Coturnix japonica: one gene and its partners. The protein of the gene in region 1 purifies or fractionates together with the protein of each later gene. This does not show direct contact. Links are inferred from orthologs where the notes say so. Each region holds a gene or a part of one and is shown in the gene's direction. Other genes may lie near its edges. The genes, in order: TICAM1, TLR4 and RIPK1.

Region 1 (4,408 bases):
GGGAAGAAAGATAAGAGTAATATAAAATCATTTGCCTTAGAAGAGGCTGCTTCATCAAAGGTGACTAAGATGCCTGAAGAACCAAAAGGAGCAAAAATGATTCCGGGGGAAGCATGTAGAATGCTAGAGAAGCTAGAAGAGAAGATAGGTGTGGAAGAGGCATTGGCTGGGAAGGAGATAATAACGAATGCACTGAAGGAAGATCCCTGAGAAGTACAGCTGAGCTGAGGCCCCTTGAGTAGAACGTCCCTTAGTCTTCTAATCATGCGCCCAACTGTCAGTCACGCTGGGTGTTCCTCCTGCTTTCACTATCCGAGGATTTTACAGTAAGACATAGTTTGCAAGGAGGCTCGATGACCAAGGTGGGGTGATTCCAGATCTTGATGTATTTTTTTCTTAAAGCATGTTAGTCCAAAAAAGGAAGGTAGAGGGCCTATACTTCATCTCTTTTAATTAAGTCAGCACGGCTGTATGTGATTGGCAGTTGATGCTGAGACAAGCTGTGAGTGAGAAGTCTCAAGTTATTTTTAATGTTGAATTATGTTTATGACTTCATCCAAGCTGCAGAGATCCTAAAAGTTATGCACTCAGCCTTTGATCGTGTTTTCCTCCGGAAGTTTTAGAACTACATGTTACAGATACTACTTCCCTTCTGACTTCAGCTTCCCTGAGAGGCTGAACCCTGCAGCAGACCAGGAACAGCTGGGGGCTCCTTCTGAGAAGTGCCTCTTTTTTTATCAGCCAAACACCTGCTGTTTTGTAGAGGGATTTTCTTGTAAGCATGTCAATCTGCAGTGGGACTGTCTTTCCTGATAGTGAAAAGGACTTCAGGGATTATCTGATTGTGTCTAAATTAACACCACGAGTGAAATATTTTGTGGCTTTTGCCAGGAGTTACTCTGCTGTGTTTATAGGAGTATGCTGTAAACAAAATAGGGAGATAGGTACTGTTCACTTTTCCCAAGCAAACAAGGCTTTGTAGCTATTCTTGATGTTGTTTATTTTGTACTGGTATGGCACCACTGATAGGACTGGGGTAATGGCAAAAACTTCAGAATAAAATTGGTGTTCTTTCCTTTAGCCAGAGCAGGTTGTAAGCTTGTGTTGGTCAAATCGCTTCTCCTAATAAATGCTTTCAGTGGATAGCTGCAGCAGGAGGAACGTGGCTGTATCACGCCACAGGATACTGCTGCGTGCCGTTGGCTGCCCTGACAGTGCTCCAGCCCCACGCTACGTACACATCACACACCCATCGTACCTCTGGCTCCTGACGCTCGGAGGAGTGATGCCAAAACCCTCTCGCAATAAGAAAATGTAGTTCTTCTGGTGGGTGTGCTCTTGCCAGCTTGCGTTAAATACCTCCAGGAGCTGTTACAGAGGGTGACGGCACACGGTGCGATCTATGGCTCATCCTCTGCCGGGGGCAGCCCGACGGGGAGCGGGAGGGGCGCTGCTTCCTGCCCCGGCTCCGCTCCCGTCCGGGCTCCGCTGAGCCCGCTCCGCCCCAGCCCTGCGGCCGATCCCCGCTCCGCTCCGCCCCGTAGTGTCGAGTTCCTCCGCTTCCTCGTGTGACAGGCGGCCCCGCCGGTCAGCAACGACCCCGGGCCCGGGAAAGCCCGGAGCGTTCCGCTGCAGACCCCGTCCGCGGCCTCGGGCCTGACCCCGAGCGGCTCCGCGGGGCGGCTGGCGCGGGAGCAGCGCAGGTAGGACCGCACACCCGGGGTACCGCGGCGGTGAGAAGCCGGGGCTGTGACGGGGCAGCGGTGCTCGTGGTGTGACTGCGTGAGCGCTGCGCATCGCGGCCCCACATCGGGGCAGAGAGCGGCAGCCGGAGGGGCACGGTGAGAGCCGCGAGGGGCTTGGGGATATTTGGGGCGTTTCGCTGAGTCACAAGGCGGAAGGGTATCAACGAGTTTCAAAGGTCTCCCTCTGCTCTTTCGATGTCCGGCCTTACTTTCCTGCCTTCCCGACTGTTTCGCTGAATCGGTTTTTCTTTGAAAGAGCCACTAACTTTCTCGGGTTCATCTTGAGCTCATTCATTATGCAATTAGAGATTTTTTTCTGAGTGCAAGAAACAATACTTTACCAAGTTGAGAGCTATTTGTAGACACCCCAGTTTCCTTTATATGCAGAACGCTGTTCCACCAGGCTGTGTGTGGAGCTGCAGGTCTGCTATTCAGTCTAACCCAGCTCAGCCAGCATTGAGTGCTGCGGCTTAGGAGAGACCAGGGATTAAATATGGAAGGAGATCACACCAATGTTCGCAGTGACATGAGACAGCCCAAGAGAAGATGTGTGGGTGTTCCTGGCCTCCCTGGAGATTTGAAAGGGCTTTATTTCCCAGCTGCCCACTGCAAAGAGCAGAAGAGCGGCTGGAGGGGCCTTGGAGGAGATGAGTGCCTGGCTTTACCCAAATACATGATTAATTTAGCAGTGACTTCAAAACAGTTGTCTATAATGTGAAATAAATGTGAAGAACTTACTCTTTGCTTAGTAACAGAGCTGTAATTATGTGTGTAGCGTGTCACATGCACTGGCATATCTGTAAGCAGTAAATGTGGGGAAGAAAAAAAATCAGAGTACTGAGAGCCAGGGAGCTCTGCCTCATTGTGTCTCAATGTGTTGTCCCATGTTTTTCTCATAGGTTCATTTGCTCCGTTCTTCAAGACAGAGATATCTTGCTTCTGAGACGAGTCCCTGAGCTGCAAAAAGCTTCTGCTTGCATGGTACAGGAATTACAACTGGGACACCACAGAGCACTGCAGGGAAATAAACCTTGAACCCAAATGCTGTAATATGCTCTTTCCCTTCATGCTGCTCCAATCCATCATCTTGGCCACCAGCTGATGAGATGGCACAGAATGCTGAGGTCCAGCCAAGCTTTGAGGATATTTTTAATATTCTGTCCCAGGTCCCAGCAGAAAAACTCCTTAGTCTCGAACAGAAACTGAAGTATTTGATGTCTGGGCCCAGCAGTAAATTACTGCAGGCCATGGTCCTGCTTACTCTGGGACAAGAAGCAGATGCACAAATTTGTCTGAATGCTCTGGGAGATAACCGGGCAGCCCTGTACATCATCCATCAGACCAAACTAGGCACCGCAGGAGTGCAGAAAGGCAGTGGTAATTCTCAGCACCCCCAGCTAGATGCAGGTGCCATGGAACTTCTGGCAGAGATCTACTTGCTGCTGGCAGGTGAAAAGCTGTGCAGCCACAAAGCTGTGGGCAAAGCTAAACAGGCTGCTAGCAGTGCCAGCAGGGATGCTCAGAGGGACACTCTCAATAGCATTGCAGTTGGAGATCAGGAAAGATGTATCAGCACTGTGGATTCAGATAGTGAGTTTCGGACACTGAGATCTGATGTGAGCACAGGATTTCTCGGTAAGACCAGCCCAAATACCATGGTGAAAAGTTCCCCAATGAAGATTAGAAACACCTCAGACCCTTCAGGCCCACAGACCTTGCGCTCCTCAAGGATCTCAGATTCTTTCACTAGTCTCCTGATCAGTCAATCACCAACAGCTATTTTTCACATGCCAGCTCCTTCCTGTGAGTCCAGTCGGCTGTGTGAAGAGAGCACCAGCGATGCTGGACACCCTGATGGAGAGAAACAGAGCCACAGCCTGCAGGAAGCAGGCAGAGCCAGCAGCCCCAGCAGCCGTTCCAGGCAGGATACAAATCCCCAAGTCCCCCATCTGGGGAAGGCACTGCAGGTCAACTCCTGTTGTCCATCTCTCCCTATTGTTGAAACACAGCTGCCCACACTGGGTGCTGTGGGTCAACCTGTTGAGAGTAATGATATTTCCAGCACAGTGATAGCAGAACCTCAGGTACCAAAAGCAAGCAGAGAACAAAAGGAAAAATTATCTACAGATCTTCCCTATTCAAGAACGACAATAAATATTGGTCCTGCCTGCATACCCATAGAAGACTCCTACATTCCAGCAGGCATTTCCAACTCTGTACCTGCTTCCACTTCAGTTTTTCCCTTTCCTCCTCAAACCTATTTCACTTCAACCATTACCCCTGCTCCTCCGAGTGTTCCTTACAACATACCATTCCCCTCCCCTCCCTCTTCAACTGGCCCTCATTCTTTAAAAACTGTGGAAGCAGCATTGGCACCAAAGCCCAATGGTGAAGGGAAAAAGTTCTTCACTTTTGTTATTCTACATGCTTTGGAAGATGAGCGTATTGCCTGTCGCATCAAGGACCTGCTGGAGAACATGGGGGTTCCCAACGGTGCCACATTCTGCGAGGACTTCCTCGTTGCAGGACACAACCAGCTGACTTGCTTTCAGGATGCTATGGAAAACTCTGCTTTCCTCATCCTTCTGCTGACCAAGAACTTCCTGTGTAACCAGTGTATGTTCCAAACAAACTCAGCTCTGATGGAGTCCATCCAGCGACCT
Region 2 (3,331 bases), on another chromosome or scaffold:
AGGGCCTGGCAGGTTTACAGGTCAACAGACTAATAGTTGGAGAATTCACTAACATTCTGAAGCTGACAGCATTTCAGAACGGACTCTTGAGCGGTCTGTGTCAGGTGCAGATGCAGGAGTTTGTCTTAATGTGTTTCAGAGACTTTGAGAATGACACAGACACTCTTTTTGACTGCATAGGCAATGTCTCCACTATTCGGTTCGTGGACCTTCGTCTTGAAACGTTGTCAGAAGTTCCTATGTTTTCTCAAGTGAAACACCTGGAATGGAAGAAATCTAAGTTTCAGGAGTTGCCTGCTGAGAAGCTGTCTCTTTTTAAGGAGTTGAGAGTGCTTCGTATTACCAAGAGCAAAGACCTAAATAGCTTCGAGCAAAAGTTTGGGAGTCTGACTTACCTGGAGGTTGTAGATTTGAGTGAGAATCGTCTCTCCTTCCTTACCTGCTGTTCCCATAAGTTTCCCAGGTCTCCAAATTTGAAACACTTGAACTTAAGCTTCAATTCTGACATCAGTTTGACTGGAGATTTTGCTAATCTGAGAAATCTGCTCTACTTGGACCTTCAACACACCACAATAATTCATCATGGCACCTACCCTGTCTTTCTACTCCTTCAGAAACTCATTTACCTTGATATCTCCTACACCAAAACTCATGTTATGTCCCATCACATCTTTCATGGCTTGGACTCTTTGCAAGTGCTAAAGATGGCAGGCAATTCCTTTGAGAACAACACACTGACCAACTACTTTGAGAATGTAAGACGCCTCCGCATCTTGGATATTTCAAATTGCAAATTGGTATGGGTGGACCAAAGTACATTTAATGCTCTCTCTGAACTAAAAGAGCTAATAATCAGCAACAACAAGCTATTGACTTTTGATCCTGTAACCTACAAGCCACTCCAAGCCCTCACAGCCCTGGATTTCAGCAACAACCAGCTGAGTTTCCTGTCAGACTCAGCCCTGAAAATCCTGCCTGATGGTCTGGTCTCACTAGACATTTCTCACAACTTGTTTGAATGCTCCTGCATACACTTGAACTTCTTGAAATGGGTCAAGGGAAAGCAGGATCTACTGCAGAACAAGCATTCAATGATATGCCACACACCTGCCTACATGGAGAACGTGAGCCTGTCAAGCTTTGATATGTCCTCTTGCCATCCCAACCCAACCACAGTAGCATGCTCAGTGATTGTGTTGGTTGCCGCAGGAGTGTTTCTATTCCTCATTTATAAGTACTTCTTCCAGCTATACTACTCGTTGGTGCTGCTCAGTGGGTGCAAACACTCTGCAGAAAGGGGAGATACCTACGATGCCTTTGTTATCCATTCCAGCAAAGACCAAGAATGGGTGATGAAAGAGCTTGTGGAACCCTTAGAAGAAGGAAAACCTCCCTTCCAGCTTTGTCTTTACTACAGGGATTTTTTACCGGGGGTACCCATTGTCACTAATATAATCCAAGAAGGTTTTCTGAGTAGCAGAAATGTCATTGCAGTCATCTCAGCTGACTTTCTGGAAAGCAAGTGGTGTAGCTTTGAGTTCGACATTGCTCAGTCCTGGCAGCTTGTTGAAGGGAAGGCTGGAATCATCATGATCATATTAGGGGAAGTGGATAAGGCCTTGTTGAGGCAGAGGCTGGGACTGTCCCGATATCTGAGGAGAAACACGTATCTGGAGTGGAAAGACAAAGAAATAAGCAAGCATATCTTCTGGAGGCAGCTGACATCAGTCCTGCTAGAAGGCAAAAGATGGAATCAGGAGGAGATAAAACTCATGTAAAGAGAAAGAAACATCACTTCTGTCCTGTCTCCCACCCTGGCCTTGGCTGATGCTTGGTGCTCAGAAGCCCGTCCTTCTGTGACTGTTCAGGGTTGGACAAAGTGAAAAGAGACAATGTGAAAGCACTACAGAAACACCTACTTTGATGACTGCCCTTCCTCCAGGCAGCTATCAAGATAAGGAGTGGCAACAGCTTGAAAAACTGCAGATGCCTGAGCTCTGTTGTTGTCTGTAGGAGTCAGCTGAAGCCGGTCCAGAAATCCATGCAGATCTGGTGGGTCAGTGAATAGATATGAGAATGGATGGGCTGTTCTTACCTCTGACACTCAGTTTGGGCTGTTTGCTCAGCAGAATTTCAGTCTGACACTTTGAGTGGACCCCAGGGTTTCTGGGTGAGGGTAAAGGTACAGAACAGCTCCAAACTCTAGACATGGTAGGAAAAGAAATAAGATTTAGGTCTGGGTTAGCTAAACTAAAAGTATCCCATCACTAACTGTGACTAAAAGGAGGGAAAGTTTAATGCCATTGAATCACAGTACAGAGCAATCTATTGATGCGTTGGATATTGAATACTGCTGGAGTATTGCTCTCTATTTACGGAAGGCTTTGGTTGGGATTAATCACTGAGTTAGTCTAGTCTTAAACTTGCAAATCCCTCTATAATCAATGCCATTCTACAGAGGTAAAACAGAAGCAATTGAGTGGTGAATCAGACCTGATATTTTCTCAGAAGAAAAGGCCTGATCCATCTCACTTTTCTCAGCACCAGATAGCAGCATCTCCGTGGAAGCCAGCTATAGGTGAGACTGACTTCAGACATTACTTCCAAAAGAGGGAAAGCTAATTTCAGGGCTTGTGCTGGAAAAAGATGCCCCACAGTCCCTTCTCTGTGTGTTCTATCAGTAGTGTATTGGGATAACACTAACAAAAACCTCTCTAGTGTCTTCTGTGACCCATGAAACAAAGCTTTAATAAAACCAAGCTGGATGCTGTGTTTGCTTGCCTAGACAGTTTGTTTTGCACCTGTTGACTAGGGCAGGGGATGGGGATTGGCTATGGGAGGCAGTGCTGGGACACAGGCCCAGCTCTAGTTTCCGTGCCTCAAGGCTACAGGAGAACATGGAGGAAAAGCAAATATTAGCCCCGGATATCATCAGTTACGTCAGGAAAGAGAATGAGGGAAAATGAAATGGGGTGAGACTCACTGCTGCTGAGTTGAGCAGTACAGAAGCATCATTTCTCCATCCCTCTTCGCGTCTCTTCTGCAAACAGTTCGGTGCATACGCATTTCTGGCATCCTATGATTCTTGATTGTAATTGTAATAATGGGCTTCAGAAAGCCTGCAAGTGGTTCTGAGTATCACAATAAGGGTTTAGGCCAGTATTGCTTAAAAAGGAACAGTTTGTTGCATATCAAAGCAACTGTAGGAGGACAGCAGGGGTGGTGCAGAAGAACACCCTATACTGGGGTGCAGTGCCAAGCTGCTGTGTGCTGTAGGTGTCCACCCATGCACCACAGGCTCTGCTGGGTGAGATCCACCACCTCCTGGACA
Region 3 (3,179 bases), on another chromosome or scaffold:
CTCAAACTAGACTTCAAATTACTGAACACTACCCTCTGGATCCAGTTATTCAACTAGTTTTCAAGTCACTGTGCACTTATCTAGCTCACAGTTATCAGCTTCTTTGCTAAGACCTTAGGAGAGACATTAATTATGAAATGTATCCCTATGTGCCAATTAAACTTATACTCATTTAGGTAAATGGTGTTCTCTGGCCAGCTCAGAATTACTACAGTTGCATTACAGTTCTTCCTCCTTTCACTGAAGATAAGATTTTGCCCATCTGTAGCAAAGCAGCGGCTATTTTCTGCAAGGCTCTGTCCTCTGTAAGATTGATGGAATCTGTTCACCCAGGTGACTTCAGTATAAGGATGTGTTTTCTATTCTATAGGTGCTTCCTCTCGTTAAGCTTTTACCTATAACTTGACCATATGCTCTTTTCTTACATGTAGGAAATGTGGCCCAAGTCAGAAGAACTGCTGCAGAGGATGAAATCCCTTCAAATAGATGCTGTAGTAGATACCAGCAATGGCCAAATAGGTGGGTGTTCCAAGTTGCATAACTAGCACATCATCCTGGCATGTACTCTGCTAAAGATAAAGTTGCCCCTTTTGTAGCTATGGAGAGACTCAGTCATTCAGTACTTCTAAAATCCAGTAGAAGTCAAATCCTACTAACTTTGCCCACACCACTGTAAAGATTTTATTAAGCAAGTAACTTGGAACTATAACAGGCAACCGATAAACCTTCACCAAAGCTATGTTTGCCATAACAGAAGTAGAACTATTGGACCTAGTAAGGCAGGCCAATTGCTGTACTTTTAAAGTAGCGTAGGTACATTTCCCTAGCAAAAATAATAATGTAAGACTACAGATTACAGATGCTTTTGTGCTTTTTTTTGGTGACATCTCCAGATAGGATTTCTACATAATCTTTTGCAGATATGACTTCAGTGACAAATTATTTGTGTTGCATTAAGTAACGCCAATTACAGTGAGTTCTATCTTCCATCTTGTTATACTCTGGTCTTACACTGGTTAAATACCAGTTAATGAAGTCAAGACTTGGTAGTAAATTAGACCCTATGAGTGCTGCTGGGAACCTGTTGTTTCAGTGACTAAGAACCTGGTGTCGATATATGCAGAATACACAGTGAATTCAGACACTGCTTTCCTAAGCATAATTCAGTGACACTTCCCAGAAAGGGAAGTATTACATAAAACAGCTTATGCTGGAAGTGATGCTACAGTTTCATCTTTTATAATTTACCATAGTATTAAAAATAAATTAATAGAATCTAATGTCACCACTAGTTATATACTTGCAATAGAATCTGTTTTAAATACTTCATTTTTTTCCCTTTCAGATCAACCTAATTCTCTACACAGCTCTCAGGGTCAGATTAATGAAGCCTTGTTTGCTGCCTACCCTGAGAACCAGCCTGTTGAGAGCTGTGAGACTTCGTTTACATCCCCTGACAATCTTGAAAGAAAACTTGAACGTGAATACGACTACCATGCATACGGCAGCCGGATGGATAAATCAGTAGCTCCACCATACAGCCCTGAAATGAGAGAGAGAGAAACGAGACCTAAAGTTTCCAATGATCCATTTGCAAAGCTGCCTTCTGTTCCTCAATGGGGTGAACTGTATTACAAAGCTGAAAATATAGGATCAAACACTAACCCTTGGTTTTGGCCAAAACAAGCTGCAATACCAACTCAGGGAAATTTAGAAAATTTTTATGGGCCAAACGTTAACAGTCTCCTAACAGGAAACACTGAAGATCGCTATGATCCATGTTCAACAAGTGCCTTTAGCCTAAGCAAAACTCCTGTGCCGGAATCTCGCCCAAACCTGGGGGCACAGAACAGCGTAAACCAGCAACAAAAGAATGCAGATGTGGATACAGGTGAGATTCTTCCTCCTCTTAACTCTTGTGTTTCTGAAAATGTGTTTTTTCCTCTAAAGACAAAGCAGCCTTAATAATAGCAGACAGTGGATAATACTGCAGCAGCTAACAAAACCAAGAGCTCTTACTAATCACACTTGGAAAACTAAGGAGTATTTTTGACTCACAGAATGTAACATTCACACCACAGGCTGTGTGCGCAAAAATGGAACTTTTCTCATGTATGTGCATGTAGCATTTCAGAAAAGAGATATTTAAGCTTGATTTGCAGCAAGTTAAGAGTTCAGGGAGCTAACAAGGAACTAAAGCTCTTAACTGGTTTCTCCAGAGAACACTGCTCAGTGCTAACACAGAGATGCCCTTACAGTTTGCTAGTGAACTGTGGAATAGAAAGCTATGGAGAAAACGAAGAGAACAGTGAGTGTCAGTAACAAGTGGAAGCAATCATTGTAGGGAGGCAACATACAATATCATGGCAGGCATCAGGCAGATGCAGAAGACCTGCACTGCAGTTCTTCTATTGTCTTATTTGGTGACCATAACCCAGTCACTCTTACTGCCCAGTCACAAACTGTCAGAGCTCATCTGAGCGCATCCAAATCCATTACTACATCAGACAGGAAGTTACATCTCTGCAGGACATTATTGCTACCAACAGAAGATACGGTGGCATCCCCAGCTACAGCTGGTCACAACTAACATGCTAACAAACCATGATCAGTCTCAGCAGTAAATAGCAATGTGCTCGGCAGCCTTCTTGGTTTGGAGGCAGTAATACCTGTGTCTACGCTGTGATCCTGTGCTGCTTTCTGCCAGGCAGGTGTTCATACACCCATGTGGAATCCTGTTGTTCTCACTGGGATCCAAGGATCACAAAGGCTATCAGTCCATAAGCAAAACCACAATAAGGGTAACTGCTTCAGAGTTATTAAAGGAGATAAAGTCCTGTTTGTTAAAAAACTTTCTGTCTTTTTGTATTTAAGAGCGCTATGCACACTGTACAAATAACAGCAGTACTTGTAGATTTGTTTTTTTTAATTTCCATAACACTTCTGGCATTTCCTCTCTCTTTAGGTATCAAGGTTTCTGCCTCTTTCACAAGGGGAACTTTCACATATTATCCTCCTGCAACTCCAATAACCAGAGGTAAATGCTGTAGCCTTTGTTTGTCTTGGTAGCCAACAGTTTATGCATTGCATTACGATCAGTGAGGAAAAAAGCTTCAGCATCTTCATCATCAGGCTGCCCAGGGGGGTGGTGGAGTCTCCTTCTCTGGACATATTCAAGA

What was found.
Region 2: the proteins of TICAM1 (region 1) and TLR4 purify together in Homo sapiens (affinity purification with western blotting; 3 studies listed by BioGRID). This does not show direct contact. The link is inferred for Coturnix japonica from reciprocal best matches to the Homo sapiens genes TICAM1 and TLR4.
Region 3: the proteins of TICAM1 (region 1) and RIPK1 purify together in Homo sapiens (affinity purification with western blotting; 4 studies listed by BioGRID). This does not show direct contact. The link is inferred for Coturnix japonica from reciprocal best matches to the Homo sapiens genes TICAM1 and RIPK1.

The regions. Positions count from the first base shown.
Region 1 is NC_029543.1:3,917,979-3,922,386, forward strand, and holds the start of TICAM1 (TIR domain-containing adapter molecule 1), read left to right. Parts: upstream 1-1,533; 5' UTR 1,534-1,703; exon of another isoform or gene 1,704-1,841; intron 1,842-2,644; 5' UTR 2,645-2,851; coding exon 2,852-4,408. Other genes in the region: perilipin-3-like, read left to right, coding at 1-210.
Region 2 is NC_029532.1:2,459,471-2,462,801, forward strand, and holds the end of TLR4 (toll-like receptor 4), read left to right. Parts: coding exon 1-1,778; 3' UTR 1,779-2,784; downstream 2,785-3,331.
Region 3 is NC_029517.1:63,195,145-63,198,323, forward strand, and holds part of RIPK1 (receptor-interacting serine/threonine-protein kinase 1), read left to right. Parts: intron 1-431; coding exon 432-519; intron 520-1,345; coding exon 1,346-1,891; intron 1,892-2,965; coding exon 2,966-3,037; intron 3,038-3,179. UniProt on the Homo sapiens protein: Serine-threonine kinase which is a key regulator of TNF-mediated apoptosis, necroptosis and inflammatory pathways.